Linked DNA regions of Rattus norvegicus. The protein of the gene in region 1 interacts with the protein of each later gene in a biochemical or structural test. Links are inferred from orthologs where the notes say so. Each region holds a gene or a part of one and is shown on either strand. Other genes may lie near its edges. The genes, in order: Akap1 and Mycbp.

What was found.
Region 2: the proteins of Akap1 (region 1) and Mycbp form a complex in vitro, tested with the Homo sapiens proteins (2 studies listed by BioGRID). The link is inferred for Rattus norvegicus from reciprocal best matches to the Homo sapiens genes AKAP1 and MYCBP.

Annotation. Positions count from the first base shown.
Region 1 is NC_086028.1:74,116,407-74,128,666, forward strand, and holds the end of Akap1 (A-kinase anchor protein 1, mitochondrial), read right to left. Parts: intron 11,290-12,260; coding exon 11,163-11,289; intron 10,668-11,162; coding exon of another isoform or gene 10,642-10,667; coding exon 10,514-10,641; intron 8,406-10,513; coding exon 8,228-8,405; intron 6,267-8,227; coding exon 6,116-6,266; intron 5,754-6,115; coding exon 5,686-5,753; intron 3,836-5,685; coding exon 3,762-3,835; intron 3,145-3,761; coding exon 3,082-3,144; intron 2,849-3,081; coding exon 2,774-2,848; 3' UTR 1,826-2,773; downstream 1-1,825.
Region 2 is NC_086023.1:141,415,758-141,428,063, forward strand, and holds Mycbp (C-Myc-binding protein), read left to right. Parts: upstream 1-4,969; 5' UTR 4,970-5,040; coding exon 5,041-5,055; intron 5,056-5,201; coding exon 5,202-5,274; intron 5,275-9,511; coding exon 9,512-9,560; intron 9,561-9,755; coding exon 9,756-9,885; intron 9,886-10,979; coding exon 10,980-11,024; 3' UTR 11,025-12,181; downstream 12,182-12,306. UniProt on the Homo sapiens protein: May control the transcriptional activity of MYC. Stimulates the activation of E box-dependent transcription by MYC.

The DNA.
Region 1 (12,260 bases):
GTAGCTGTCTCCAAACACACCAGAATAGATGGCTGTGAGCCACCATGTGGTTGCTGGGAATTGAACTCAGGACCTCTGGAAGAGCAGTACAGTGCTCTTAACCGCTGAGCCATCTCTCCAGCCCCCCCCCTTTTTTTTTAATGTATTTATTTTTATTCCACGTGGAAATGTGGGCACTGGGAAATGAACCCAGGTCCTCTGGAAGAACAGCTGGTGCTGTTAACCGCTGAGCCATCTCTCCACCCCTTAATGTTACAACTTTTTTTTTTTTTTCCGGGGGGGCTGGGGACCGAACCCAGGACCTTGCGCTTCCTAGGTAAGTGCTCTACCACTGAGCCAAATCCCCAACCCGGACTTTCTTGTTAATGTTTTTCTTACACGATTTAAGCGAAAAAATATCAAAATTTCCTTCTTTTTAATTGCAGTTTTTGGGAAACTGTCACAGTGAGGAGTCAGGTTCTGTTTTTAAATAATTTATTGTTTTATGCACATTAGTGTTCTGACCACCCACCAGTCCGTGTGAGGGTGTCGGGTCCCCTGGAACAGGAGTTACAGTTGTGAGCTGCCATGTGGGTTCAGGAAATTGAACCCCATCAGGTTGTCTTTCTACTGTGTTTTACCAGACTGCCCTAGACATTATCAGCAGAGTTGATTTTTCCTTCTAGGTCATCTTACATAAAGAGCACTCACCCTTTGGCTCAGATGTTACAAACTTTTCCTGGCTTGATTCATACTTGACTTTTAAGCCTTTCACAGAAGCAAAACCATCAATGGCCCTGTATTCCCCTGTTCCCCTATGATCTAAAACTATCCCTCTGGCCGACCATTTAAGTACTGGCATTTGTCAGGGGACATAAACCTAGGTGAGCATGGGGTTCCTTGCTACTTAGATAAGTGGTTAACAGCACTTCGACTGGGGAGTGGCTGGCCTTGAGACTTGGCTCTGCTCTGTTCTGCTTTAAGTAGCTCAGCCAGGAAGGGTTCCTGCCTCACAGGCTTGTGGATTCCGTATCACCACAGCACGGCACAGATCACTGTGGGAGTCCTCTAGTGTGACGGCTGTAAGTGACTTCAGTTCTCAGGAGCTGGATGCTGGTCTTGGCATAAGCAAAGCTATACTTGCAGTAGCAGGTAACCTAGAACCTAGGCTCTGCAGTGACCAGCTACTCCTGTGTCTCTCAGGGCTCAGAGGATACTAACGCCAGCAGTGAGCTGGAAGAAACAGTACCATCGAAGGGCAGTCCCCAAGATTCAGTCCCCGAGATTCCACCCTCACCCCCAGCAGTTGGCTGGATCAGGCTAAGATGCCTTTGATGACCCCTAGTAACAGGAGTCTCAGATAAACTAACTTGGAAAACCCCAAACGCCTGCTCCTCTGAAAAGTGTCTGTCTTTTGTAGGGTTCATACCTTCATGATTGGCCCTCCAACCTCCTTTTCTCCCGAACTCCCAACCACGCCCCGTAGAACCACCCTCCAAGGATGACTGAGACCTTAAGATCTGAGAGACCGAGAACCTACATCCTCCCCAGACCCTATGGCGTTGGCCAGAGGAGCCTGTGTCTCTATCCTCTACCTTCCACAGCCTTTCTCTACACCACACCCTGTGTTCTCTCAATGCAGAGGCCAGAGGAAGCTGGGCTGCCACCTGGTGGGAGCAGGGGGAAGAGCAGGCCAGAATGTCTTCTAAGGTTTTGGGTCCTCCCTTTCTTTCACCGTGGCCCTTGAGAGCCACAGCTGGACCCTCTACCACACCACTCGCCACTACTCCTTAGTCCCAGCCCCAAATTTCTGCCACCACTGAAGAAAAAAAAAATGGACTCAAGGTTATAGTTTATACAATTCAAAATTTATGTAAAGTCCATGATACTTAAGTTATTCTTAAATTGCACAATGCTAAAGACAGCCTATAAAAGTCAAACACACCACTGCAAGGTAATCCAATGAAGGTTTTTTTTAAATGCGTACAGGAAAAAAAAATCAAATCCCCAATGACAGTCTCCCATACAGCTTCCTGTCTGCACAGAAGCTCAGGGCCCCTGGCTGGAGCAGCAGGGGAGTTAGTCCCACTCCATGGGATGGGTGGACTTGTGGAAGAGTTTTAAGTTCCCTTTGTTCTCCAGTGTGTCTTGTACAAAATATTACATTTTTAAACATATTTACAGAGTTTGCACAAATAGAAAATGGTTACAAATTACAACCAGGCTTGGCAAGATAATAGCTTCCCCTCTCCCCACTCACTGGGGTCAGGTGTGACAATCGCTCCTTATTTACACCTATGTTTAAAAAAGTCTTGAGTTCCCAGAGACCCGGAGGAAGTATATAAAAACTGCTAAACACCGTCAACTCATCCAAGTGAGCCACACAGGGAATCCATACCGATTAGTCCGTGTCTCACTCCCTGAATAAAGACTCTGAAATTGACCCTCTCAGCCAGCCCCACACCCGCCCTGGCCTGCCTGCTGCAGTGTGTGGGGTTTGGGTGGGGAGAGGGGAACGGATGGGATGGGAATGGGACAGCCTGGCTGAGAGACCTCCCGCCAGACAGCCTCCAGCCAGGCTAAGCCAGCTGGCTGGTGAAGCGCCCGCCACTCTAAGGCTTTGAAAGGATACCCAGCTCCTCCTGGGAGGAGTCTCCTTCTCCACAGGACTACAGAATGGGGAAAGAAGACTCAGTGAGAACAGTGTTCGTTACTCTGCTGTTAAATCTCTGTCCTGGGTGCCAAACCCAATCTCAACAGTGCAAAGAAGACCGAAGCAGCCCAGGAGCCACGGTCAAAGGCTGGCATAGCAGCTGTCTACCCACTGTGCCAGGCCCCGCTCCACCAGCGACCGGTTTATCAACACCACCTGGAAAAGAGAGTTTTCTTGAGAATTCTGCCTGGTACCTAGGGGCTAGGTCTCAAGCAAGCACATCTAGCTTCATGGCACTACATGACACTAATACCATCACTCCCAACCCTGATGCCCAGTGTCCCCTGAGTGGCACTGGCCCACGATCATGTTGTCTAAGAGTGGCCAAAACTAGTTCCCAGTCAGCCTGTGCTGCTGACAGCAGCTTGGGTAGAAAGGGGCAGACTCACTTCATCTCCAACCACACTCCATAGCTGAATCAGAGGAAGGCCAGTTGCACTGTAGCTTGTCACCTGGAGGGACATGGGGCATAAAAACATCTTAGGCTGTACACACTTAAAACTTGAGACGAGTTTTACCAAGTAACCTAGACAGGTCTCAAACTCAAAATTTTCCTGCCTTAGCCTTCAGAGTGCTCCAATTAAAGGAGTGTGCCAGGCCTGGCTTATGCACTTCAAGCTTGCTGGTCACTCCAGCCCCATGACCATAGGGGTCTGAAGGAATTTAAGTGTCCGATCTCAAGAAGTCGGGACACTTAGCTGCACTAGGCAGGAGACTCCCCTGACAGCCCCTGGCTGGTCTCCAGCCTCCTGCCCCCCTCCCACACCTGGGCCAGTCTCCTGCTCTCTGCCATGCACCTGGGTCAGCCTCCTGTCCCCCACCCCACCCCCACCCCCCCACCCCCAGACACACCTGGGTCAGCCTCCTACTCCCCCACATACACACACACCTGGGCCAGTCTCCTGCCCCACCCCCACCCCCCACCTGGGTCAGCTCCCTACTCCCACCACACATCTGGGCCAGGTTTCTGCACACCCCCCAAACACACACACACACACATACACACCCCTGGGTCAGCCTCCCCCCTCCCCCCCACGCCTGGGCCAGCCTCCTACTCCCCCACACACACCTGGGCCAGCAGTGCTGTATTGCCTGTCATCTCACTCATGGCTGCGTCTGCCTCGGGTGAAAAGTGATCATCATCTAGAAAAGAAGAAAAAGACAAAACAGTTCAGACGCCCTCTGGGGCAAAACAGTCTCGTCACTTATAGGCTGCTCCAGACACTGCAGACTGCAGGACTGTGTCTAGGACAACCACCTTACCAGCTGAGTCTATGCCTCTGTGACTCACGTGGGTAAACACAGGGGAGCCCCAGCTGCATGTGCCCCCCAAGGCATAGGGCACACAGGATGGGGGGGTGAACACATTTGTGTACTTCCAACCAAACCCGCAACGCCCAGAAGACAGAAGGGCGGGCATGTCTACTTTATGGGCAAAGGCTGATCCCCAAAGGGCAACGGGCTCCCACATGCTGGATTACAATTAGGCAGCATTCTAGTCCCAGCAGGGCCCAGTGTGGGTGGACGTCCTCTAGTGGGCAGGACTCAGGTGGCTCGAGTATAAAGTGACAGATAAGAGAACAGGCCAAGGCAGGGAGCAGGAGGGTGGGAGGAGAGCTTTAAGCTGTGGTGGGCAAGTCTTGTGATGAAGCAGGGCTATTTCCGTGGGCTGGCCAGACTGTTAGGTGGACAGCACAGAGACGGGTGGGGAAGAGGGGGAGGGAGGGAGCCTGCCGGTGCTCTGGCAGGACTTCAGCCGCTGCACCACACCCCCCTTTTTTAAAGAAAGACAGCAAACTCATGGCAATGCCCCTGCTTTGGCCTCCTGAATACTGAGATTTCAAGTGTGCAGCATCACGCCTGGTTACACTGAGGTAAGTCTTGAGCACTTAAACGGCTCTGACACAACAGGATCTGAAGGGGAGAGGGCAACGGGTCAGACAGACTTACCTACAGCGTGAGAAGCTGCGATCTGACCACTTTCTACATCAGTACACATGTGACTCCCACAGCCACCCTGACGTGTGAGCGCCACCCTATCGTGCCAGAGGACATGAGCCCAGCACCCGTTCTCTAGCAATGCTCTCGGTCTTAGACACGCAGGTCAGCACAGTCCCCACCCCACCCAAGGAGTGGAGATTGTGCCAAGCAGTGTGCTGGCCCCGAGCCTGTCCCCTCTGGCCACATCCTAAAAAACCTCGTGGAACCGCAGGCTGGCAGCTGGGTAAAGTGCAAAGCAGCAGACCCTGAATGAGGCCACAGCAGCTCTGGCTTCGCCTGGGGACTTGCTAGAAATCTGAGATCTTAGGCTACTGTGTCACTGCTCCGCACTGGCCCCTGGTATTCTCAGACCCGGCGGCTGCTCCCTGGCGTTACTTCTGGCACTGTAGGGCCATATAGAACTAACACTAATTTATCTCAGCGGTGGCTGGTTCCAGTGTGCACCACACCATGTTAGCCTAGCTACCTTCTAGCCCCAGGGGTCCCTCCAGTCCCATTGCTAGTTGCCCCGGTCAGCCCTGGCCAGCCAGGAACTCTGGTCCCAGCTACCCGGTAACATCAAGACTCAACAAACTGTAACCCAACAATCAGATTTATGTGTTCAATAGTCAATCTAAGATACATCCACAGAATAAATTCACTGCCAATTAATAAAGATAGAAATTGCCCACCTAGACAGGATAAAATTGACCTAGACCACCTGGATCGGAATCATCTTCCTCCACTGTCTCTATCTTGATTCCCCTCATTCCTCCTCCTCCCTTCTTCCTAGACTTTTCCCCGCCCACCCTTCCTTCTCATCCAATGATAGGCTTCACCTTATCCTGGACCCGCCTTGCTGCATAATGACATCATCCGACACTGGGCCTCAGTCTAGACTATTCAACCAGAAGCTAACAGTGACAGCAACTGTCTACACAGGCGATAGGCGAGGGCCCCAGGCCCCAGTGTTCCTCACCCCCTCCCCCAGCAGCTGGGGGCTCGCCTGTTACCTGACAGCGGAACCACACTGTCCAGAAGGACTTCTGCTCCTTGGAATGGCAGGGTCACAAAGTCAGACCTGGAAAGGCAAGGAAGGGATGGGTTTAACATGGCCAACAGCATCTGACCTCAGCACAGCGACACCTACAATCCAGGGTGACGAGCACACCTGACTGCAGATGGACAACTGCTACAGCCTGGCTCAGAGGGTAAACTCGGGTGTCTCTCACTCCACATGCCTGGCACTGGGGCTCCTCCCACTGAGCGGCTTCCTGGTTCTGTGAGGCTGAGGCAGGTCAGCACCTTTGTCTACATCTGATGTGAACACAAAGTTGGCAGCAGGAGGGGAAGACTCCAGCCCCATCTGAAGCTGGGCAGAACTGAGCCATGCACCCATGCCATGCAGGGGTGACTTGTGATTGGCCAAGGAGTCCCACTCACCTAATTTGCCGGAGCACGTCGACTTTCACCCTCTTATATCCACCATAGTCCACGTAGCGAATCTCCACCTCATTGGTCTCCTCATAGGAGGCCACTACTTGGGCTCGCCACCAGGCCCCGTCCGCACCAGGGGCAGCGCAGATAACCGTTACTGCAGGGTGGGAGGACAAGTGTGTGGGACACGTCTGGCCTAGGGCAGGGCTGTGAGGGCTACCCTGGTCATTGCTCCCCACCTTCCCACATTGTCAGAGGCATGCATTTCCACAGGGAGGGGACAGGGACAACACGAATCCTCCACAAACTCTCTCCCGGAGCCCAAGACAAGCAAGGGAAAACCCAGGACATGGGAAATCCAGCTCAGCACATCCCCAAAGCTACCCAATCCTGAAGGACCTTCAGTCTGGGTCCATGACTCTGAGATGTAGCCTAAACCTAGTACAATACAAAACTCACTGAGCAGGAGTGAGGGCCTGCCCTATGTGTGTATGCATGGACGCGGAGGCCGGATATGACCTTCCTCAGATGTTGTGTCATTCCTCAGATATTGGGCCTTTTAAAAAAAAATGCTGGCTGGTCAGTGAACTCCAGGAGTCTGACTATCTCTGCCTCCTCAGGGCTGGCGCACAAGCATACTATACACAGCTTTCCTTCCTTTCTTCCTGTGAGAAAATCAAACTCACATCCTGTGACGAACATTCACTAAATTACCTCCCAGCCCTGGGCCTAAGGAAGTCCCCGGAGAGAATCAAGCACTGCTAAGCTTAGTGGCCCAGCACCTAGGACCTGGTCTACCTGACTCCACAACAACCCCAACAGAGAGCCTGGCAGAAGGACATCCTAGGTCTATAGCTCACACCATTGAGCCTCTGCCTCACAAGTACAGAGTGCCCCAGGCAGCCGAGCTGGGCAGGGTCAGGTACCGATCACGGCAGCACCTCTAGCATCTGCTGCAGCTAACTACACCTGGTCCTGATGCAGGCGGCAAAGCCCCAGTGCAGCTAGCTAAGCTTCCACTCCAGTTTGAGCTTGATCTCGGGCTAGATTACTGGAGAATCTGATGAAAATTAAAACCCCATTCTCCCAAAGGGGGGAGGGGGCTACAGATAACTTCAAAGCCCACGAGGAGACAGGAGGCATGTTTTGCATTTAGTCCCCTACCCACTGATATAACAACAAAGGCACCAGGACACCCCAGCCCTGTTCAAGCTGCCTCAACAAGTCCCTTGTTTGAGAGATAGCGACTCACCCAGACCACTGCACAGGTGACAAGCTACACCCGAATGCCCCACATGACACTCAGCATCTCCACTCTACTCCCTGGTGGGCAAGCCTGGGTACCACTCGGTATCGCCCCACTTAGAAGACGCAACACCCAGTCTGGAGAGGTGGTTCTGTGGTTAGGAGCATGTGTTGTTCTTGAAGACCTAGGTTTGATTCCTCGACCGACATGGTGGTTCACAACCCTCCATAACTACAGTTCCAGGGGACCCAAAGCCTTTCTGACCTCCATGGGCACCAGGCACACATGTGGTGCACATACATACATGCAGGCAAAAATACTCACGAATAACATAAAATGAATGAATCTAATCTTAAAAAAATGTTTAGGTGGGGTTGGGGATTTAGCTCAGTGGTAGAGCGCTTGCCTAGGAAGTGCAAGGCCCTGGGTTCGGTCCCCAGCTCCAAAAAAAAAAGAACCAAAAAAAAAAAAAAATGTTTAGGGTTGGGGATTTAGCTCAGGGGTAGAGCACTTGCCTAGCAAGCGCAAGGCCCTGGGTTCGGTCCCCAGCTCCGAAAAAAAGAAAAGAAAAAAAAATGTTTAAAAGAAGACGTAAAGTGTCAGGGCTATGATGAGTCCACCCATCAAATCGCCACTCCAATCCTACTGCTTTGGCCGGTCAGTGAAAGTACGAGCTAGCACTGGGCTAGCCAGAAAACTCACTCCAGTATAATTCCATAACGACACAAGAATTTAAGGATGCTGTCACACAAGGGAGCCTGAACAGTCTTTTCCTGATCCAGACCAAGGCTGACACGGGCAACCCTCCTTGCCTACACGTCTTGGCCTGACCAGGAGCCAGGACTGTCCCTGACTCTCCAGGCAGCACTTACTTTCCACTGGGGTGGGCAAGGTGGGGATTCCAGGCTGAGAGTAACAGAGGTACATCTGCTGGTCCAGGCTGCGCAGTGCGTGGAAGGTGGGGTGTGTGTGTTGCTGTACAAATAGGTGCCCAGCATTGACCTGGTTGACCACGATGACTTCCACAGTGATACCATCAGGCAGCATGAGCTGGAGAAGGAAGAGGCAGCCAACACTATATCAGTTATTCTCATGTATGGGGTACGTCCCGAAGCCCCAGGGCAAGTCCAGGAGCTGGCACAGTAACATGGCACCCAGATAACAGAGGTCTGTGGGCTGTTGCATTGTAATACCGAAACCTGCCATTAGAGGCAGCATCACCTCGGGATAAGATAAGGGAGACCCCTAACCCAAACTAGGCAGCCAGAGGCCAACTATATATGCAGTGCTGACGACTCCTTGCACAGGCTGGGCAAGGGTCTATCTCCTGGAGCATGCAAGCAATCAACCCATCACTCACTCCCTCCCTCCCTCCCTCCTCCCCCTCCCTTCCACTCCTTCTGGAATTTTTAGTTCATGCTCACTGAGTTCCCTTGACTTTTTCCTTTCTTTTTAAAAGATTTATTTTATTTGTATGGATCTTTTGCCTACACGCATGCACACGCATACATATACACACATATGAGTGTGCATGCACAGACCATGCACATGCCACCGCCATGGATTCCCTGAAACTGTAGTTATTAGACAGTTGTGAGCTGCTGTGTGGGTACTGGGAATTGAACCCAGGTCCTCTAGAGGAACAGGCAGTGCTCCTAACTGCTGAACCATTTCTCCAGCCCCCTTCCCACTTCTTCTTTTTTTTTTTCTTTTTTTCGGAGTTGGGGACCGAACCCAGGGCCTTAAGCGCTCTACCACTGAGCTAAATCCCAACCCGCCCTTCCCACTTCTTTTGTTGAGTCTAAGTCAAAGAAAGCAAGTGGGAGTGAGCAGTTTGCTCAGAACAACATGCCGGAGAATCCTGGGTGAGCTGCTTCAGGCCTCTTTGGACCTACAGTTGACTCTAGAGCTTGGAAGAATTTCCCTGTCTCAGAAAAGCAAGCAGCAGCCTCAAGGCAGGTCCCCTGGTGTCCTATTCAGTCCTCTGTGCCTTCTAATTGGCTCCTAGATCAATCGCATCCTATCCACCTCCACCTCGATTCACTTTGGGGTGGGGTCTGAATGTGTGCTCATCTGCTAAGGGGCAGTGCAACAGGTCCTAGCAGAGGCTTCTAAGAGCCCCATGCTTGGCACCCTTTTCCCTGACGCTAAGCTATGGCAACAAAGCAGGGCTCTGAACACAGGAAGGTTTGGACTGTGCCTTCAAACCTAGTGGCCCCAAGAACATCCTTTACTTCTATGGGTCCCTGTAGCCCTGCTGACTTCAAAACACCTGGAGTCTCCTCCCCAGTCCCACTGAGCAAGCAGAACACAAGGGAAGGAAACCACCCACACTAGCCATTCCATTATTAAGGAAGAGAGGCCACAGCCAAGCCTTCTGAGAAAGCCTCTAATTCAGAAGTAAAGCATGGAGTGGAGCCTACCCCATTCCCTAATGCCCACAGTGGAAGAACCCTACCTCCACCCCCTACAGCACAAGGGTCTCTGGTTGGGAAAGACAGAGGTGAAACACCTACCATCCTAAACAAAACCCGAAGGGGCAATCTTCCTGAAGCGGCTTGCTCAGCCTCTGAAATGCAGTGAACAGTGTGTGGCCCACAGAACTGAGCCATCTACTCTCAGCAACAAGGGGCCCAGCAAGGGCCAGGGGCAGGCCTGCTCATCGCTCTGGAGACAGTACCTTCTCTTCTGCCAACTTCTTGGGCTTCCAGGCTAGGGACTCTGCATTTACCAACTAAAATCCAGGCAGTTTCTGAGGAGAGGCAAGAGGAGGGAGTCCTTTGCCAGGGCCACTATTCAGCCCAGCTGACTACAAAGAATGTAGCAGTCCATCTAAGCTCATACAAATCCTTATTGGCAGACCCTACCCAGGCCTCCTCAGAAGTCCCACACCCAGTCACCTAGCTCAGTCTTCCATAGTCAAAAGCCCAGAAAAAAGAAAGCATGCCCAGGGCAGGAAAGGAAGTATAATCCTCCTAGTATGGGTTCAAGAGGCCCTGGCTTCTCACCAGCACTCTCTCCTGCCGTCAGAGAAGACACCGGCAGAACTGAGTGGAGGCCAGAGCAAAGAGCACACACACCCACTGGCCTGCTTAGCCCACGCCAGGAGCCTCCACTGGGTAAGAGTCAAGAACTGAGATCCTGTAGAGCATGCTCACCCACGATGTCATCGGCAGGGAAGGCAGTGCCAGAGAAGGCAGCGGTGGTGCATAGATATTGGTGAGGTTCAGCTCCTTAAACTTCTTCCCAATCAAGTTCAGAGCTTTGTCCACATGATGCTGAGAGCCTACAGGTAAGGACAGGACACAGCCTCTGTGGGTAAAAGAAGAGTGACAGCAAACACAAACCCACCCTCAGGCCTCTTTGGGATTCTCGCGTGCAAGGGTTTCTAAGGTGCCAAACACTGGCTTTGCGTTAGGAATGAAGTCACTTAAATCCACTCCCCTTTGGTCCCCATGCTTTGAACACACCAAGAAGCTGGCAGATGGGAAAGGCACAAGTGGCCTCAGCCAGAAGGTACCTGTGACTGTGAGGGAAATGTGGATGACAGGCACTGTGACCCAGGACCCTGGCCCTGTCACTGAGCACCCACCCTGGCTAGACAGAGACATGGTGCAGAGGGGCAGTCTCCCACAAGCACCCGAACCGGAGGAGTCTGTAGGAAGACACCCAGCATGCCCTCTACCTAGAAACCCACAGTTTCTATTTAAAAGCTAAACTTCCAAATGGACAGCTGCAACCAGGAAGCTACTGCCTTGTGTTGAATTCAGGCGAGGGAGCCAAGCACAGGGCACCACCGCCACTGACCTTCTATGTGGCAGATCTGGATGTTCTGTGTGTAAGGCAGGGTGGAGATGTAGATCTTGGCACCAGACGTCTGCTTCAGAAAACTCACGTACCGTCCCTGCTTGCCAATCAGTCGACCAACTAAATGCTTCCAGGGAAAGAGAGAGGTAAGGATGACAGGAAACCAACTCCTCGCTGCCCAAGGACCCAGGCTTAGTCAAGCTCACACCATTCGTTTCTGTCAGCATGTATTTTTCAGAACTGTTCTAAGCACTTATGCTCACTATGTACCTACGGATAGACAACTTTATCATCTTCCACATGAAGAGAAACAAGCTGGGACATGCTCTGGAACCCACACAAGCCCACACAGCTGCTAAGCAGCTGAAGGGGACAGCCTGGCCCAGGACTCAGCATCTCATTCTAACAGTATGTCCCAGACCAGGAATATTACAGTACCCCTCCTACACATGCATGCACTCTTAATAATCCACTGCTCTAAGGGCTGACTCTCATTCTGAACATCCCTGCCACTCCAAGTCCACCAGGGGCCACAGACAAAAGAGCTGGTTGGACAACGAAAGCATGAGAACACTCAAGACTCCCACCCCACCACTAAAGAAGAGCAAGTACATACAAGTGCCCAGTGCACCAGAACTCCAGGCAAACAGAAGACGCCAGACTTAAGCATAGTGTAAGGCAAGCCCTGCAACAATTCCTAATGACCCCAGCCCTGGAGGGTGGCAAGGGACATGGTCCCTACTCACCCAGAGCCTGCCTCACTATGCCCTCTGTGACCACCGAGGGCAGGATTGATAACAAGGTCACTAGGGAAAGAAACTACCACGGGAGCCAGCAGCCCGGGGTCAGCCTAGGAGTCTTGACCCAAAGTTCAGACTCAGCTTGGAGCCAAGTGCCCTGGGGATTAAGCAGTCTGCCAATTACTTTTGAACCCCAGTGACAAACACTAGTAAGCGGTTAAGTTCTAACAGCAAGGGGCTAGAAACTACTTAGGCGCTGGGGACTGGTGAAGCACCTCGCATTCCTACGATGAACAATGCAGTTAAAACAATGTTTTTAAAGACTAGCACAGGAAAATTAAGTTGCTAAAAATTTAGA
Region 2 (12,306 bases), on another chromosome or scaffold:
AAGTAAAGTCTGCATAATAAGAAATACGAGCTTCCATAATTATACTAAAAAGAGGAATAGGCTTGCAACAAATTTGTGTTCAAGGCTAAAATATTTAGGTTCATGGATAAAGCCACAGGTATGCACTATGACTAGGCCAGGCCATGTAAAAACTGTTGCCTTAAATGTATGATAAGCATAGAGAATAAAACACTGCTTTGAACTGAAAGTAGACATCTTTCTGCAACTCCCATTTTATGTAACATGTCTGAGATATCGGAGGTAATTTTCTAAGAGCTTTTTTCTAAGCAGGGATAAAAAGGCCAAAGAAGTAAGGTTGGTGGGTTGGTGGCTCTGCCCCATCCATGCATCCATGCATCCATGCATCCATGCATCCATGCATCCATCCATCTACCCATGCATCCATCCATCATGTATGCGCGTTTGTTATGTATGAAGGTATATGTGTAAGTATGTAAGCACACGTGAATATTTGTGGAGTTGATAAGACAGATGGCTGGGCCCAGCCAGAGTGGGTATGTATGAATATATGTTTAAAAAACATAAAAAGCTAAAAGCAATAAATAAAAAGTGATGTAGACATTTCCCACTTCACCAAGTGTATGTGTTTTCTGTGTGAGTGAATCCTTCTTTCTTTTCTGGTTTACAAAGAGTTAACCCACCAAGTTAGTCAGGAACTCCTAGCAACTAGAAATAAATCCTTTACCTAATCTCCCTACTGTTAGCAGCAAGTGTCAGTAGATCCAGAGGCTTGCAGCGTCTGACTTCAGAGTAACTTAAAGTCAAGCTATGCGTATGTTATTATAGAAAACAACCCTAATATCTTGCAAGACCAAATCTTGTCCCTGCGGACACGCTTTCCCCCTCAGCTACCTTCAAGAGAGAACCAGAGCTCCGGAGCTGGCCTCTGGCAGTTGGGAAGATGACTAAGTGGGTAAAAGTACTTGCTTCACAAGCCTACTGCCCTGCAGAGTTTGATCTCTGCAACTCACTGAAACAGTCAGGTGTGGTAGCAAGCATGCATGGTCCCAGAACCCCTACAGCGAGATGGGAGGCACAGACAGGTGGGTTGGCAGCTAACTTGGTCGTGCCATCTTGTCTATGAGTCCAGCTGTCAGGCTATGCTTTGATGTGGTATTCTGTTATCCATGTATGCTCCTGTGTGCCACTTTTAGGTGTGATATGTTAGAGTTTAAAAAGCAGCCTATAAGTAAACAAATATAAATTCAGGTCAAATTCCTTCCAATTCCTAAGACCTAAGCAAATCTAAGTTTTTTTTTTTTTTTTTAAGTTTATAAGTTAAAAAGAAAAACAAGTTGGATAGTGGTGGCACACACCTGTAATCTCAGCACTTTGGAGGCAGAGGTTGGCAGATCTCTGGGAGTTCGAGGCCAGCTTAGTCTACAGAGCACGTTCTAGGACAACCAGTGATATAAACCTGGGCTGTCTCAACCTCCCCTCCCACTCAAAAAAAAATATCCAGGACTGATAATACATTATCTTGTGCTACTATTAGATACTTAAATGTCAATGCCTTAATTTCAAAACTGCGTTTTGGGTTTTCATTACAATAATCTATGCAAAAGTCGGTAAGTGTAATAAAAGGCTGATAGAACTGGACAGACAGGGTTTTGGGTTGTCCTTGGTATGATGTCCAGATTATATCCCAGAGAGTTAAGCAAGAGATATTACTGGGTATCAGGATTCCCATTTGCAGGTTCTTTTTTTTTTTTTTTTTTTGGTTCTTTTTTTCGGAGCTGGGGACCGAACCCAGGGCCTTGCACTTCCTAGGCAAGCGCTCTACCACTGAGCTAAATCCCCAACCCCCCATTTGCAGGTTCTTAGTCTTGTTGATAAAAGAATTTAAGATTTATAAGGAAGCTTGACCATTAGATTTTGAAAGAAAACCCATACGGCAGGCAAGCTACAATCTGTCAGCAAATGGGGGAGAAGAAAAAAGGGAGAGCAAAGGAGATTTCCTCATCTCATGCGGGCTCAACTCAGGAACCAGAGGCTCACAGTCCCAGGAAGCACCCAGTGAGTCAATGGCTCTGAGTCCTTGTCTGCAAACTTGGCATTCATGGCTGATAAAGGGCGAAGGGTTTGTTCTGTTTGAGACAGAATCTCAGCATGTGACTCAGGCTGGCCTTTCACTCGCAGAGATCTGCCTGCCTCTGACTCCTGAATGCTAGATGCTAGGATTAAAGGCGCATGTTGCCATTCTTAGTAGTGAAGGTTTTCTAATCACTTTTATTTTAAAATATTTCTGTTACATTTATTGTGCACGTGTGTGTGTGTGTGTGTGTGTGTGTGTGTGTGCGAGAGAGAGAGAGAGAGAGAGAGAGAGAGAGAGAGAGTGCTGGGAGAACATGTGGAGGTCAGATGGTACTTTGCAGTACTTTGATCTCCTCTCTATGACAGTTCCAGGGATCAGGCTTTCAAGTCAAGTGCCCTTATCCACTGAGTCAGCTCATTGGTCTACCTAAGATGAGTTTTGTTTTTTTTTTAAGAGCTTATTAAAGAGTAAAAGTTTAAAAAAAGAAGGATTTTAGTTTACTAAAGAAAGCAGAGGTTGGGACAAGAGCCAGATCTCCAGAGAGGGCCCAAGAGAGGACTATGGAAAAGGTTAGATTGGCTCCACGATAGGAGGTCCTAAGAAAGGAGAAAAAAATCCAGGGCTACACTGTAGGGGCTTTTTCCAGGATGTAAGGCAGAATCTGGACAAACACCAAGGGAATTTTATTGAGAGTTAATTCTCTGAGCATCACCTTCAGTCAGGGGAGAGCTTACCTGCTCTATACATGTTTCTCTGTTCCCAACCAAGGAGGTGACCGACCATTCACATTCACTGACTCTTCATTTGTTGCTCACTCAGAGGGGATGGGGGAGGGTGAAGCTCTGTCTTCCCTTGTCAGCTGTTGACCTGGCTTGTCTACTGGCCAGGTCACTAGTTGTTGATTTTAAAGATGGCGGTGGTCTCAGGCTATGGTAGGGTCCGCTAGTCATTAATTCAACTCTATTTTTGTCCTCACCTTTATGTAGTAAGCATGAGGTTCTATCAAAGAATCACCACGTACTTAGAGGGAGCTAACTCTTGCTGCAGTTAATACGATGCGGTTGCAGCTTTTGTTGGTTACCTCATATCCAGCTCCTTATGTACAGGAGTGTGGAGTAGCCTCTCTCCAGGTCAAGGGGAGCCATGCTTTGCCATAATTAAGCCGGTTACAACTGGCAGTATTAGGAGGTAGCACTATGAAAAGGTAACAATGCCTTACTTAGTTTCCTGGGATTGAGTTAGGAGGTCACACATGGTGAGACCCTGCCTCAAAACAACCCCTCCCCCCCAGACAAACAAATGTAAAAATCCCAAAAAGCCCAACTAAGAAAACTGGATGAGTCTGCAATGCCTGAGACCAGCGACTGGACCAGGGAGGAAGGGCATTACTGACAAGATCAAAGGGAGGCAGGCAGCACCCATCGAGAGGAACTGTGCTTTGTACTTTCTCTTCAGTTGGTGGTTGAAGCTGGGTTCATGACTGGACAGTTTTTTTCCACATGAGTTTAAGTTCTGTGGCTTCTCATGACCGAATATGATTTTTTTCTTAAGACCAAGAGAAAAGACAGTATTTTCGTTATTTGTGCAATATAGAGCCATCGTTTCGCTTTTCTTAAACAGTCTAAAAACTATGCAGCTAGGGGCCAGTAAGATGGTAGGTAAAGGCACTTGTCGCCAAGCCTGACAATCGTAATTCAATTACTGAGTCAGAAGGAGAGCAAGTCCTGTGAGTCTTGGATCTCCAACCGCACCGAGGCATGAATACCCTGCCCCAAAAAGGTGAGGATAGGGCCTTACATTGAAACAAGAACACAATGAATTCTTTGTTTTGTTTTGGAGACAGGGTCTCTCTGTGTAGCCTTGGTCATCTTGGACCAGGCTGGCTTCGAACTCAAGAGATTCAGCCGCCTCTCCTTTCCTCGCACTGAGACTAAATTCGTAAGCCACCAGCGCTCGGTGAATAGAATGACTTCTATTCAAAGACATCAAAACAATATCTAGCCAAGTAGCAGGCACAACAACAAATTCACCAAAGGGCCCTCTTCTGCACCCAGAAATGTTCTCAGTAAACAAAACAAAACAAACAAACCCAGCAGCATAGCCACATTTTAAATTCATCTTCTGCATGTAGGGTGGCTTCTGGATGGGTAAAGTGGGATAAGCATTTTTGAACGAAGGAGGAACTAGAGAGACATACATACTTAGTACTACCTATAATTATTTTCAACATAAATACATGCATAATATATGGAAAAGAACTTAATGTTAACTACCAACGGGGTAAAAAAAAAAAAAAAAAACAAAAAGAAAACTAATGACACAAAGGCAGGGAAAAGAATCACGACTTCAGAGGTCTTTCACCTAATCCAACATTACTGTAGAGATAAATTTTCTCCCAGCCAGCTGCTATCTGCAAACCGTACTGGGCTTACATGAGCACCCTGAACATGGAGTCCAAGAGAGATTCAAACTCTTTATATAGCTCAGGGTGACCTTGAACTTTTTCCTGTTTTGCTTTCACCTCTCCTGTGCTGGGTATTTTTCTGAGAGCCAAGAAACACTGAAACACCGGTTCCCCACCAAAGACCTAAAAGACAAGGAGTGCGCGACTACTACCACGTGGAGAGATGCTACGCTTAAAGCATCTAACTCCCGGACACACCCATACTGGGCCTCACAGGACGTTCGTTCGGCTTTACCGAAACCTCGCCTCTTGCTAGGCAACCGAATCTCCGCGGCGACCGGAACAGGAAGATGCGAGACTGCCCGGAACCGCGTAGGGCAGGCGCACGCAGTCTCTCTGGGCTCCGAGGAGACAAGGATACACAGCGTCCCGGTCGCCATGAAAACAGGCCACACCCCGGCGGTCCCGGCCCGTGCCTGCCCAGTGCGCAGACGCGCGCGCCGTTCCGCGCAGGAGCAGTGAGGCTTGGAGCCCGCCAGCCAGTGTCTCCGGCGCCAGCTACGCCGCTGTGGCTGTCACTATGGCCCATTACAAAGTGAGGGGGGCGCGGCGTGGCTCGGGGCGTGCGGGCGGCGCCGGGTGGGAGTTGGGGCGCGTGCAGGGCTTGGGGCCGGCGGCGGGGCGCGCCGTCTTCCTGCTCCGGCCCCGGGCTCCGGTCCCTGACCCGCCGTGTCTCCTCAGGCCGCCGACTCGAAGCGCGAGCAGTTCCGGAGGTACTTGGAGAAGTCGGGGGTGCTGGACACGCTGACGAAAGGTGAGCGGAGGCGGGCGGCTGCAGCCAAGGTCCGCGCGCTCTTGACCAGGTGGGGCCCGCCCGGGGACTAGCGAGGCCTTGGGGTCCCATGGGTTGAGCGCACACCGGCCGCGGGACTTTGCCTCACCCCCGTGGTCGCTCTCTGCCCGGGACTGAAACTCTTGCAGCTGTTGCAAAGTCTCTCCAACTTCCGTTGCTTTCCCTCGAGCAGTCGCAGTGGACACGTTAGCAAGAGACCTTGAGGTCCCAATTGCTCCCGCCGTATAGTGTGCGGGATTTTACAAATTTTTCCTTTGGACAAAGGCAACTAAGAAAATTACTGGATTTGAAAGTGGGTTATTAAGTGGCTCTAGTCCCCGAAGCTGGAGAGTATCACAGACAGTTTGGGCTGTGGCTTTTCAACTCTTTCAGCCTGTAGTAATTCCTACTTTGTGTAGATATCATAATTAAAGTGGAATTACAATTTGAAAAGTGCTTCAGAGCACATAAAAATGGCTATACTCTTTACTTTAAAACAATGGAAGATTACTTTTAAAGTGCATCCCTTCCTTTCTGGGAGTAAGGTTAGAGGGTATGGTGATTGAACCCAAGGATTCCCGGAAAGAGAATACAGCTAAACTGTCCTTAACAGTATATTGAATACCTGCTACATGTTGAGTAAGAACTCAACATTGCTTGGTGTTTCCAAGGGAATAGAATGGAATGGCTGGCAGGGATTGAACCCTTGGTCCTTTTGAGAATAGGAGGTGTCTGGGAAATAATTTTGTATCTGCTTTTTAGTGAAACAAAAGCTAGGGGAAAATTTGGAAGGACTTAGAAGAAAGCAGGGCTTTTAATTCTTTTACATGGATGAACTGACAAGTTAGAATTACTACTAATTTCCTTATGTAGTTTTGCAAGTCGATGTGAGCAACATATAAGGAACTGCTCTGTGAGACCACTGTACTTTGTGGCATCGGAAGTGTCACAGATGGCTTGGAATTCTGGTAAAAACCCCTCATGTTTCTTTGATGTGATGATTTTATTCCAGCCTGTGTTCTGGGTACCAAGGGCACAGCCACAGACATGTCCCTGCTTTTGGGAGCTTGTTAGGGACACACACTGTAACACAGTGCCAGCTAGTGGTTGACATATAATTTAAACCATAGCCAGGATAAAGGTGTGACATTTTACATGGAGTAGCAGAGGGCAGACCGTGAACAGAATTTAAAGTATAGATAAGTATAAAATTTGAAATCTGGATTGCTCCCAAATCTGTAACTTACTGAGCATTGATGTGGAAAATCCCATACTTGACTACATAAATTATGTCAGTCATAATTCAGGAGCCTAGGAGTATGTACTTGTTCAAGACCATGTTCATCTTATGTGGATGAGGTCCGAATGGAATGTAAGTGAAGTTCAAGTTTCCGCTTGGATCTCATCCCCAAAATGTCTCATTATTCATGAGTAGACATTTCAACCTCTGGAGATAAAGACTGATACACTTTTGATCCCAAATAATCTGTGTGGGGAGGGCAGGGGGAAAGAAATGGATGCGGTGAGTGGACAGGCGAGAGCAGTACAAGGCAGATGGACAGCAACTGGAGATAACTGAATGCAGGCTGTTTAAGAGAATGGAAACCAATTTTAAAGGGTCAAACATAGATGCTTTATACACGTTTACATCTTCCTATCAGCAACATTTCAGAGAGGATTTAAAGTTGTTTTTAACATCAAAACAATGTAAGAAGCCAGGCATGGTGACATGTTTTTAGTGCTCTAGTGAGGGAAGGCCGATCGGCATTCACTGCTTGCCTGGAGCGCATATCAAGACCTGTCTCTCTCTAAAACAGTAAACGAGAGCTAGGCTAGAGAGATGGCTTAGAGGTTAAGACTACCTGATATACAACTACAGGGACTAAAGTCGAGATACCGGCACTCATGTACTAAACCAGGCGGTCTGTGTGTGTGTGTGTTCCCAGCCTAGCCAAAAGGATGGAAGCTCCAGGCTGGGAGACCTTGTCTCAAAGGTTTGAGGCATATGCAGAAGACTGTCGACATCTTGTTTCATTTCTAATTGCACTTGACCAGTTGAAATAGGAGGACTGCTTGAGTCTGTGACCAGCCTTGGATAAAGAGTAAAACTACATCTTAAAAACAAAAAACCAAACTTAACCAACCAGCCAAAAAACAAACAAACAAGCAAAAACAACAACAACAAAAAACAAACAAACCCAAAACCAAAACCCAAATTGTATAACCTTCTAGACAAAAGCATCCAGGAAGAAGGTGAATGGATGGAATAGCATTTTAGTTATTCTGAGCAGGGTAGCAAACTTTAAAAGGCTCTAAGTACCTAGGCTGCTAAGGGCTAGCCAGAAGGCTCAGCAGGTGAAGGTGCTTGCTGCCAAGCCAAGTGGACCTGAGTTTGATTCGCAGAGGGTATAGGTCTCTGAACTGTGTCCTCTGATTTCTACCTCCTCCCCAATATTGTAATAACAGTAAATTTAGCTTCTAAAGCAAAAGCGAATATGATTTGGTTGAATTCTCTTCAGATAAAAAGCACAATTATTCCACAGAAAAGAACACAAAACTTAACACTTTGTGGCTCCAGCCATGCAGACACCAAGGCAGGAATTTGGGAGCTGGAGGGAAGTGAGGATGCAGTGACGGAAGGAAAAGGCAAGAGCACTAATAGTCACACCCTGTAGATCCTTGCCGGCCTAGTGGTGCAAGTGTTTAATCTCAGCACCTGGGAGGCAGCACTCAGAGAGGCAGGCAGTTTCTGTGAGCTCAAGGCCACCCTAGTTTACATAGTTTCAGGACAGCAAGGGCTGCACAGAGAGATGCCATCTTTAAAAGTAAGTAAATAATGACTAAGACTCCGTACAGATCAGTGGAAGTAAATGAAGAAACACTTTTAAATGTATTTTTTAAAGCAAAAAAGTAGTAGTAGGGATTTGAGATAATGTAACATACTAAGAGATGGTCAGATAGTTGCGATATAAATGTGGATTTCTCAAAAAACTGTGTATTTTGGTGTAAAAGTGCTTGCTCACTTGACATTTTTCATATTGTCTGTACTTTGTCATTAAAACTCGAAAACCCAGCACATGTACATTGGTTTACAACAGGATTTCTTAATTTGGACTCTCAAGTTATGCACATTGAAGTTGCATATTTTACTTTTGTCAGATTTTTATAACACTTGTACGGGGGGGGGGGGGTGCTGAGGCAGGAGGATTGCCATGAGTTTGAGGCTAGCTGGTAGTACAATAGTGAATTGTAGGTCAGCTTGGGTTACCTGTCTCAGCAACACACTGACTCAAGCATACACAGCCTTAGGAGAGTTTTTCAAATTGTCCTCAGCACAAGTGTGGAGACCTTGCCCCCTGCATACTGAATCCTTGTTCAGTAGGTGAGAGACAGTGTTGACAGGAAGTGCTAGCACATTGTTAATGCCAGTCTGAGCATGTTGACTGTGGTAACGTTTTTTTGGTTGGTGCCTAGCTTGTCATACATGAAACTTAATTCTTGAACGTTTCAAATGGAATGCTGTTAATTACCTAAAATGTCTTCAAGTACATTACATTAGATTTTTTGTTTTTGAGACAGGGCTCCTTGTAGTTCAGGTCTCCAGCTCATTGCTTTTCCAGGAATGATCTTGAACTCCTTAGTCCCCTGCTTCACCTCCTTAGTACTGAGAGTACAGGTATGGGTACCCGGCTTTCTTCTGGGCCATTTTCCATGTCCCACTTAAGTCAGGCTTGTATACAGCATTCAGGAGTGACCCTGCTACCTCCTTGCTTTCAAACTGTTGAAATAATGTTTGTAGTCCTTAGGATCAAAATTCAACTAAGCTTTTCTCAGTTGTCTCAGTCTGGCCCCAGACTATCTTTCCTTTTATTACCCACAACCCCACAACATACTTGACCTGTTGGTTCCCTTGTATATGCTTTGAGCTTTTCCATTTAATCTGAAATGCAGCTAGGTCTCAGATCTGCCTCTGATGCTGAGTATTCTAAAACTCACTAACCACTATTACAGCTGAGTATTCTCTTAGTTCCTTATCTTTTACGACAGATTGATGAGTTTGTTGCTAGCAAGGGTACTGTCTGACTTGTTCACCACTGTATGGACAGGACAGTCTTAGCAATCTGCTCACCGTACAGCAGGCAGACAGTGTTTACTGAGTTTCAGAATATTTCAGCCGTCTACACTGGAGACTTAATTGTTCTTTCTCTTTGATTTGCAGTGTTGGTAGCCTTATATGAAGAACCAGAGAAGCCCACCAGTGCTCTGGAGTATCCTTTTCATCTCTGAAGGGAAAAAGCCATATTTCTGACATTTTTATTTATTCACATATATAATGCGCTTTCAATACTTTGTTTGTTGAAAAGTTCTTTTGACTCTTCACCTGACCCTGGACAACCGCTGTGGTGTGGTGGTGACTGTCCTGGCCCACCCTGCTCTGAGTATGTTCTTAACACTGATGTCAGCTTTTTAAAGCATCACTTAGGAGCTGCCACCCCGGAGAACCCAGAAATAGAGCTGCTTCGCCTAGAATTGGCAGAAATGAAAGAGAAATATGAAGCTACTGTAGAAGAAAATAAAAAACTGAAAGCAAAGGTAAATTTAAAAACCAAATTCAAATTAAAAAGTAATCTTGCCTCTAATGATTATCTGACCAATCCTTACTGCAGGCCAGGGATATAGCTCAGTGGTCGAGCGTCTTTCTGGCATGAGTAGAAGGTCCTGGGTTCCATCTGTAGCATGATAAAACCACAGTAAACAACTAAACCCAAAACTCCACTAATGGGTAGCAGGGAGGGACAGTATCAGTTTCAGTCAGATCCATGGCAAACTTAAGCCTCATCTAGAAAAGTCCCAAGACCGATAAAAAGTTGGATAGGCAAGTATAGTCACGAAAAGGGAGTGAGAACCTACATCAATGAAAAGGTGGGGACATTGGCTGATACTGCTTAAAGTAAGTTCTTAAGCTGTTTAGGTCAGTCTAGGCCACTGCGTTGTTAAGACACAGTCTGCATTGTCTGAAGCATGCTAGCTCCAGGTTCTCAAAAGGACGGAAGAAAGCTGTACTCGACTTTATCTAGAGCTGAAATTTGCCTTTGCTCAAATTCCCATAAACATGAGCATCAATCAGAGTCTGAGGTTTATCACATTCCGAACCACACGATGTAATTCCCAGTCTGAACCTAATTGAAAGAGGTCAAGTCTTCTGAAGTCTAGTGTTCTTGTAAGCAGTCACAAATTTCTATAAAAGAAAAGGCAAGGTTTTAAATCACTAAGGATGCTGAGATCTGTAGTTGGTAGTTGCTCTGTAGACCAGGATAGCTTGAAACTCAGGGCAGACCTGCCTCTGCCTCCCTGTTGCTGATGTAAAACTTCCTGGCACTTTTAAAGTCAGACATCGGCTTCCCATCGGCTGACCATACTAACAGAACCATGCAGTGACTGAACAGTTCAGTCGTGAACTGAGGCGTGAGTTTAGTTCCCCAGCAATGCTAAAGATTTATACAAAAAAGGCTTTTGTTAGGTTTAATTGTACTCAACCTTAAGTAAGTGAATGGTTTAAGAAGGATAATACAGAAATTGATTACTGACTCAACTAAGTTGAATATATTATCTAATTTCATTGTATTACTAAGTTTTTTACCCAACTTAAATAAAATTCATCTAAATCCTCTGTCTTTGCCCCATAGCTTGTTCAGTATGAACCACCTCAGGAGGAGAAGCGTGCTGAATAGGATTCTTCTCAGTTGAAAAGACACTGAAAACTGGTTTTGTATCACTTGAATAGCTTGTATAGTATATGATCTTTCCTGAAAAGATGCTATAAACTTTTAATATGTTAAATTCACTCATCACACTTTAATGTTATAAACACATATACATAGAATCACCAATAAAAACTCAATATAACTTTCTTTGGGTCTTAAAGCAGGAGAATCCAAAGTAGATCGTGAAGAAAAGCTAAAGAGCCACCTAACTTTTCACCCTGACAGCATTTTATTTATTACTCAGTTAGGAATAATGGTACTGGTTGTATTTTAGCTAGAAGATTTAGCAGGGAGCTATTCCTTGGTCCAGGACTTGAGCATAGTAGGCACACTCATTCTTGACAGCGTATATTTCCTGGAGACAGCTGGACATATCTGTGATGTACAATGCTTTTGCATGGGTTCCCATGCACTTCTGCTCTTTTATAGAAATCGAGAACAAACAGCTCTTCTTTGCCACCACTTTGCCTTAGACAACTGTGCGTGCCAGTGTGAACGCTGACACCACGTTTTCCTTCTATGCAATCATGCCTATCTGATAATGCTGCCTTGCTGTGTGTGCTTTAGTGTGTTCTGGTTGCACATTAGTCTGGGTCATTTTCAGTTTGTGTAATGCTGCAGCTACCTTTGATTGTAATTTACATGCTTCCCACAGGACTACACTCTTACCCTGCCTTCCTTCCTTCCTTCCTTCCTTCCTTCCTTCCTTCCTTCCTTCCTTAGTTGAGCACAGAAGAGAGATAAAAGTCTGGGTTCATACACAAACTGGGATGGGAAAGGAGATGAACTGTCTATGTCACAGATAATTATAATAAGTAATTATATAGTGATTTCTTTCCCTTCAAACATTTTTTTGAGCCTTGAATTCACTTTATCTTTATTATCCCTGTGAAGTAGGTAGGGCAGGTAAAGGGAAGGTTGGGTGTTGAATTTTTAGGCCAAAGACTGACACACAGATTTGTTGCTAACTGTAGAAACCTGAGTAGGTCAGTTAATGGTTTGGAGACCCCCATCCTCATCTGTACCATGAAAACATTTGCTGCCTACCTCACAGGGTTGTTGTGAGGTCAAATGAGAGAATGTATATGAAAGATTTGTAAATGGTAAAGTACTTGTTTTGTTAATCCTTTTCTTTCTTTTTTGGTAGGGGACAGTCTCATGTACCAAGGGCTGGCCTTTAATTCCTGCCTCCAACTCACGAATGCTGGGGTTATAGGCACTCCCACTCCATCCGGCCCTTTCCCTTTTT